Linked DNA regions of Anolis sagrei. The protein of the gene in region 1 purifies or fractionates together with the protein of each later gene. This does not show direct contact. Links are inferred from orthologs where the notes say so. Each region holds a gene or a part of one and is shown on either strand. Other genes may lie near its edges. The genes, in order: PKMYT1 and CCNB1.

Evidence for each region.
Region 2: the proteins of PKMYT1 (region 1) and CCNB1 purify together in Homo sapiens (affinity purification with mass spectrometry; 5 studies listed by BioGRID and IntAct, with this or other methods). This does not show direct contact. The link is inferred for Anolis sagrei from reciprocal best matches to the Homo sapiens genes PKMYT1 and CCNB1.

What each region holds. Positions count from the first base shown.
Region 1 is NC_090026.1:23,688,337-23,692,259, reverse strand, and holds the start of PKMYT1 (membrane-associated tyrosine- and threonine-specific cdc2-inhibitory kinase), read left to right. Parts: upstream 1-1,197; 5' UTR 1,198-1,443; intron 1,444-3,923. UniProt on the Homo sapiens protein: Acts as a negative regulator of entry into mitosis (G2 to M transition) by phosphorylation of the CDK1 kinase specifically when CDK1 is complexed to cyclins. Mediates phosphorylation of CDK1 predominantly on 'Thr-14'. Also involved in Golgi fragmentation.
Region 2 is NC_090022.1:266,459,062-266,462,984, reverse strand, and holds the start of CCNB1 (G2/mitotic-specific cyclin-B1), read left to right. Parts: upstream 1-911; 5' UTR 912-1,110; coding exon 1,111-1,131; intron 1,132-3,582; coding exon 3,583-3,738; intron 3,739-3,844; coding exon 3,845-3,923. UniProt on the Homo sapiens protein: Essential for the control of the cell cycle at the G2/M (mitosis) transition.

The DNA.
Region 1 (3,923 bases):
GCAGGGCCTCTCCTGATGATCTTAAGCTTTGTGATGGTTCATAGCAGGAGATACGTTCAGACAGGTAATCTGGACCAGAACTGTTCAGGACATTAGAATCATAGAGTTGGAAGAGGCCTCACGGGCCATTGAGTCCAACCCCCCGCTAAGAAGGAAAATTACATTCAAAGCACCCCCGACAGATGGCCATCCAGCCTCTGTTTAAAAGCCTCCAAAGAAGAAGCCTCCGGGGCAGAGAGTTCCACTGCTGAACAACTTTCACAGGAAGTTCTTCCTAATGTTCAGATGGAATCTCCTTTCTAGTAGTTTGAAGCCATTGTTCCACGTCCAAGTCTCCAGGGCAGTTGAAAACAAGCTTGCTCCCTCCTCCTTGTGACTTCCTCTCACATATTTATACATGGCTATCATGTCTCTTCTCAGCCGTCTCTTCTTCGGGCTAAAAAGGCTGAGCTCTTTTAGCCGCTCCTCATGGGGCTTGTTCTCCAGACCCTTGATCATTTTTGGCCACATTCCAGCTTGTCAATACCTCTCTTCAATTGTGGTGTGGTTGTACATTGTACAACGAAATGAAATGCTTTCCCCAGCATTCATGACAAAAACTACACACTCCAAACATTGAGCCCTGGCAGTTAAAGTGGTGCCAAACTGTGTTAATTCTAGTCTAGCTGCATTTTGTCACTGACACAAGTTTGTCATTAAGTTAAGACTAAGAATGGGCAAACTTGAGCCCTTCAGATGTTTTGGATTTCAACTCCCACCATTCCTAACAGCCTCAGGCCCCTTCCTTTTCCCCCTCAGCCGCTTAAGCGGCTGAGGGGGAAAAGGAAGGGGCCTGAGGCTGTTAGGAGCGGCTGAGGGGGAAAAGGAAGGGGCCTGAGGCTGTTAGGAGCGGCTGAGGGGGAAAAGGAAGGGGCCTGAGGCTGTTAGGAATGGTGGGAGTTGAAATCCAAAACATCTGAAGGGCACAAGTTTGCCTATGCCTGAGTTAGACACCGTAAGACACAGCCAAGACGTGTCTCTTTCCTTCCTGTCAATCACCTCCTTTGGTGGCTCCTGATTGGCTAAAAGAGAGAGAGAGAAAAAAAATGGCGGGGGAGGGGGGGAAAAGAGGAAAGGGGGCGGGGCTTGTGCCTTCCCGCGCTCTTAACCCCCCCCCATCCTTTCCCTCGCTTCTGAGTGCGCGCGCACTGCTGCTGCTGCTGCCGCGGTGACGTAGGCGAGGCGGAAGTGGGCGAGCCCGTTTGGAATTTTGGCGCGAGCGCGGAGCGTTGGCCCCCAACGTTCTGAGGAAGGGGAGTGGGAGGGGTCGCCCTTGGCGCGAGGAGAGGAGAAGGAGAAGGAGAAGAGAAGAGAAGGCGGCTGCATCCGGGTATTTGTGTGTGTGTGTCTGGCGAGAGAGAAATATTCCCTCAACACTTCAGAGGAAATTGGAGAGGCCAAGAGGCAAGGCGTTCCCTGCCTCCCAAATATGGGGGGATGTCTTAAATTGGGGAGAATTGAGAGGGGAAGGAAGGGAAAGGGGGGCTTGACAGATATCCTTTATTGTTAATGGTAATGCTGTATATTGGTGGAAGCATGGCTCTTTTCTCCCTCCCTTTGAGAATTAAGGTTGCCAGAATGTTGTGTTATTATGATGTTAGTGATGGAAATATAGTCTTTTTCTCCCTTCCTGTGTGAATTGAGGCTCCTAGGTGTCACTAAAATTATTATTATTGTGTGCTGGAGGAAATATTATCCTGTTTTCCCTCCCTCTCAGTTAAAGTTGCCAGATGACATTATTATTATTATTATTTGAAACACAACAAGATCAGTCCACAGCAGACAAGATCACTCTGCTGGCTGCTGTATTGGATCGCACGTCAGACACTTCCCAAGTGTATTATTATTATTTTATTATTATTATTATTATTTGAAACACAACAAGATGAGTCCACAGCAGACACTGTGCTGACTGTTGTATTGGATCACATGTCAGACACTTCCCAAGATGATGATGATGATGATGATTATTATTATTATCATTATTATTATTTGAAACACAACAAGATGAGTCCACAGCAGACACTGTGCTGACTGTTGTATTGGATCACACGTCAGACACTTTATTATTATTATTATTATTATTATTATTATTTGAAACACAACAAGATGAGTCCACAGCAGACACTGTGCTGACTATTGTATTGGCTCACACGTTGGACACTTCCCAAGTATATTATTATTATTATTATTATTATTATTATTATTATTACTATTATTATTTGAAACACAACAAGATGACTCCGCAGCAGACAAGATCACTCTGCTGGCTGTTGTATTGGATCACATGTCGGACACTTCCCAAGTGTCTAGGACTGTGTAATGTATCGGCGAATAATAATAATAATAATAATAATAATAATAATAATAATTTTACTGACACAAAAGCACAGTATGTCACAGCAAACGAGATCTATATGCTGGATTTTGTGTCACAAAATCACAAGTTGAAGACTTCCCAAGCATCCAGGACTGTGTGATGTATTTTCAAATTATGTGTATTATTATTATTGTTATTATTATTATTATTATTATTATTATTATTATTATTATTATTATTTGAAACACAACAAGATGACTCCGCAGCAGACAAGATCACTCTGCTGGCTGTTGTATTGGATCACACTTCAGACACTTCCCAAGTGTCTACGACTGTGTGATGTGTCGGCGAATAATAATAATAATAATAATAATAATAATAATAATAATAATTTTACTGACACAAAACCACAGTATGTCACAGCAAATGAGATCTATATGCTGGATTTTGTATCACAAAATCACAAGTTGAACCCTTCCCAAGCGTCTAGGGCTGTGTGATGTATTTTCGAATGAGGCATGCAGATCCAACTAAGGTGGCCTTTTGCAGTTGACAGATTGTGATTTTGTCAATATTTGTTGTTTCCAAATGCTGGCTGAGATCTTTTGGCACGGCACCCAGTGCGCCAATGACCACTGGGACCACCTGTACTGGTTTATGCCAGAGCCTTTGCAGTTTGATTTTGAGGTCCTGATAACGGCTGAGTTTTTCTTGTTGCTTTTCCTTAATGCGACTGTCACCTGGTATGGCGACATCAATAATCCAAACTCTTTTCTTTTCCACAGTTGTGATGTCTGGTGTATTGTGTTCCAAAGCTTTGTCAGTCTGGATTCGAAAGTCCCACAGTATTTTTGCGTGTTCATTTTCCACCACCTTTGCGGGTTTATGATCCCACCAATTCTTTACTGCTGGCAGGTGGTACTTGTGACATAAGTTCTAGTGAATCATTTGGGCCACAGAGTTGTGCCTTTGTTTGTAGTCCATCTTTGTGATTTTCTTGCAACAGCTGAGGAGATGACCATGGTTTCATCAGCTTCCTTGCACAGTCTGTATTTTGGGTCATCAGCTGATTTTTCAATCCTGGCCTTAATTGCATTTGTTCTGATGGCTTGCTCCTGGGCTACAAAAATCAGGCCTTCTGTCTCCTTCTTCATAACCATAACCAGGTATTCTCCTTATCAACTTTTCCTTCAATTTTGTCAAGGAACTGCCCATGCAATGCTTTGTTGTGTCAGCTGTCAGCTCTGGTTTGGAGTGCAGTTTTCTTGTACTGGTTCATTGTCTGCTGTGCTTTTAATATATATATATATATATATATATATATATATATATATTATTACTATCATCATCATCATTAGGTACGTAACAATATTAGTACGCCGCAAACAAGATCACTATGCTGGTTCTTCTATTGGATCATATGTCGGATACTTCCCAAATGGCTAGGACTGCTTGATGTATTGGCGAATGTTGCGTGCAGATCGGAGTCAGGTGGCCATTTGCAGCTGACAGATGGTCGTTTGTCAGCGCCGATTGTTTTTAAGTGCAGGACAAAGTCTTTAGG
Region 2 (3,923 bases), on another chromosome or scaffold:
ATGAGAATTAAAACTGATTTCTCTTTCCACTTTTTTATTTTTTGGGGAGACAAAGGTAACATTTATGTGTGAGAAAGTCGCCAGTGTGATGTCTGTACTCTTCACTACTTTTCTACCCTTATGTGTGAGAAGGAAACAAAGGATTTATTATAGCCTTTCCCTTTATAATCCTTGTATACAAGCTGGTGGTGCAGCGGGTTAAACTGCTGAGCTGCTGACTGAAAGGTTGGCAGTCTGAATTTGGGGAGTGGTGTGAGTTCCCGCTGTTAGCCTCAACTTCTGCCAACCTAGCATGCATGTTTTCGAACTGCTAGGTTGGCAGAAGCTGGGGCTAACAGCCGGAGCTCACACCACTCCCCAAATTCAAACTTGCGAACCCGCACCTGAGTTCTGCAATGTCTGTACTCAAAGCAACATTCTGGAAACATCATAACGCTAGCAGCATTGGGTCCCAGCTATTGTACTATCACCAATATTACAGTATAGTGGTATAGTACAATATAGTAATATATAATACTAATATTGTGCTATGCTAACAATATAATATCTTGTATGTACATATAATTTGTACGCCGCTGAGTCCGCTTTGGATTCAGAAGGGCAGCATATAAATGTTATAAATAAATAAATACATAAATAATAAAACATCTGGGGACCCACAGATTGATAACTATTGTATTGCATTGATTCATGGCTGCAAAAAGTCACTGGATTAATCCTACACTAGTGTAAATACGGCCTTGCTTCAATTGAGGATTAGGCCCACCTTCCCCTCATTATCTCAACAGCCTTCTCTGCTCCAGCTGAGTTTCTAATCTGGGGGTGGGGCGCGAGATGTCACGTGACCCGACGACAGCCAATCGCTTCCCTTTTTTTGAACGCTAGCAAAAAGAGTGTGAGGGGGAAAAAAGGGCCTGCCGTAGCCGTAGAAACGCATTCAAGGGTAGCCAATCGGGAGCGATCGAATCCGGCCAGGCAGCCAATGAGAGCAGCCGGAGCGAATTTTAAACTGGCGGTGAGAGCCATCGGACACTCGTGCATCAAACGGAGGCAGGAAGGCCGGCGGGCGGTTGTGAGAAGCTAGTGCTGCAGGAAGCGAAAGCCGGAGCCATGGCGTTGCGGGTCACTCGGGTAGGAAGAGCGACCTACACGCAGAGTTAACGGGGGAAAGGGTGCCTCGCCATCTCTCCTTGTTTGGGCTGCAATTGTATTATGAGTTACTGCTATAACCATATTTATATTTATTTATAGTCGCCTGGCTCGCTCTTAACTACTTTCTCCAACGTTGTATATAGGTTTTAACTCCTGAGAAAACTTAGTGAACTTAGGCTGTTTCTACATGGTAGAATTAATGCAGTTTGATACCGCTTTAACTGGCTCAATGGTATGGCATCATGGGAGTTTTAATTTGGGCAGGCAGTAGCCCTCTTTGGTTAAGAGGGCTAGAGAGAGCTTGCAAAACTACAATTTCAAGGATGCCGTAGCAGTTAAAGCGGTATCAAACTGCATTCATTCCAAAGTGTGGATGCAGCATATCTTTCAGATATGTTTCTATCACCCAACAGTCTCTCTTAAGCCAAAAAGGTTTGAGAAGGAAGTATTTCCTATTTCTCAGCTTTAATTTTCAGCCATGACCGTTAAATCGGTATCAAAATGCATTCATTCCAAAGTGTGGACACAGCATATCTTTCAGATATGTTTATATCACCCAACAGTTTCTCTTAATCCAAAAAGTTTTGGGAAGGAAGTCTTTCCTATTTCTCAGCTTTAACTTTCAGCCATGACAGTTAAAGCGGTATCAAACTGTATTCAAAGTGTGGACGTAGCATGAGGCGTGCCCTCTTTCAAATATGTTTATATTACCTCTCTTTAAGCCAAAAAAAGGAAGGAACAAAGAGCTTTATTTCTCAGTCGCGTGGTGCTAAGCACAAAGCTTAGTGAATTCCTATGGTAGGATTTTTAAGCACTTACATACTCAAATTTCCATATCTTACCCGCTTCTCATTGACTAATCTTTCTAAATCCTGCTCCCCAGGTGCCAGGTGTTTGTAATATCCTAGGCTTGTGTACATTTTCCTTCTTAAAGGGGTAGTGCTTCACCAAATAGGAACCCTACTTGGCATAGACTAGAATAGGCCTGGGTACACTTGGGCCTTCCTCTAGGTGTTTTGGACTCCAAATCCCACCATTCCTAACAGCTTCAGGCCCCTTCCTTTTCCCCCTCAGCCGGTTAAGCGGCTGAGGGGGAAAAGGAAAGGGCCTGAGGCTGTTAGGAATGGTGGGATTTGGAGTCCAAAACACCTGGAGGAAGGCCCAAGTTGGCCCAGGCCTGGACTAGAAAGTATATAATTCTTGCTCACACTGCTACTGCTTTATAGACATTGCAATGAAATCATAATAAATTGCATTCCTTATAAATGTGGAGCACAACACAGTTAAAGCACCTGCATAAAATACAAACAATACATTGCATCTATTGCATTAATTACACAATTCAATAAATTGAATATATACATTACTATAAAATATGTATATTAAATAAAAACACCCTGCTTTCTGCCAAAAAAAAATCTCTTGTGCCTTACCTATCACTTATAATTGGGTATGTTGTGCATGAACTCCCCAGTCTTTCAACCTCTACCCAGTTTCCCAGACTCGTCTCTAAAGAAAAAAAAAGTAATTTGCTTAGTTTCCAACAGGCCTCATAACCTCTAAGTATGTCTGCCATAGATGTAGGTGAAATGTCAGGAGAGAATGCTTCTGTAACATAGCCAACAGCCTGGAAAACTCACAGCAATCCAGTGTGGTATCATGTTTTGAAGGTGGAACTAGGATTCTGGTGAGCGGAGTTTGTACCTGCACTTAGGTGACCTTGAGCAGATCACACTCTCTCAGCCTCGGAAGAAAACAAAGACAGCTGCCCCTTTAAGAGAGCTCAAACACACAGCAGCCCAGTGTGGTATCATGTTTTGAAGGTGCAGCTAGGATTCTGGAGAACAGAGTTTGCACCTCCACTTAGGTGTCATTGAGCAGATCACTCTCTCAGCCTCAGAGAACAAAGATAACCGCTCCTTTAAGAGAGCTCCATCATAACTCAGAAAGGACTTGGAGGCACAGAACAGCAAAAACTCTGTAGAGGAGATACAGGACTAATGGATGAGGGAAGGAGGTGAGAAGGGCGTTGGCTGTAGTCTTACAAATGCTGCATCTACACTACAGAATTATGCAGTTTGATCCCACTTTAACTGCTATGGCTCAATGCTTTGGAATCCTGTGACCTGTCATTTGGAGAGGCACCATTCCTCTTCGGTAAAGATAGCTGAATACCTTGGAACACTAAGCTCACATGTTTTCATAGGATTGAGCAGCCAAAGTGGTGTCAAACTGCAGTGTGGATGCACTCTCCATCTTCCAGAGCAATTAAAATCCTTAATCTTTATTTACCCCAAGTTGCGTACATAGCAGGAATTTTAAAGCTCACTCCTTTCCTCCTCTGTCTCTGTTGTTATCCTCATGTTAGGCAAACCCTTCTGTAAAACTTGTGTTACCTATATGACCTAAATGTTCCTCTCTTTCTTACAGAACACGAAAGTCAACCTGGAGAACAAAACCAAGCCCGGAATGGCAGCCACCAAGCAGGTGATCGGGATTGCCAAGCCCACCTTGAGGTCTAGGACTGCCTTGGGAGACATTGGCAACAAGGCCTGCGAAGCAAAGCCCAGGGATGCTGCCAAAAAGGTAAAAATCATCTCTTCTTGTCCGTCATCCAGCAAAAGCCATGGTTTTCAAAACAACAGAGTTGTTGCACTGACTTCTTTCCTTTTCTCCTCCATCACTAAAATAGGAAACACTAAATCCTGCAGTTGTGGAGAAAGTTACCATTCGAAAAACCACAAGACCAGTTGAAAAGACAGTTCTGCCCA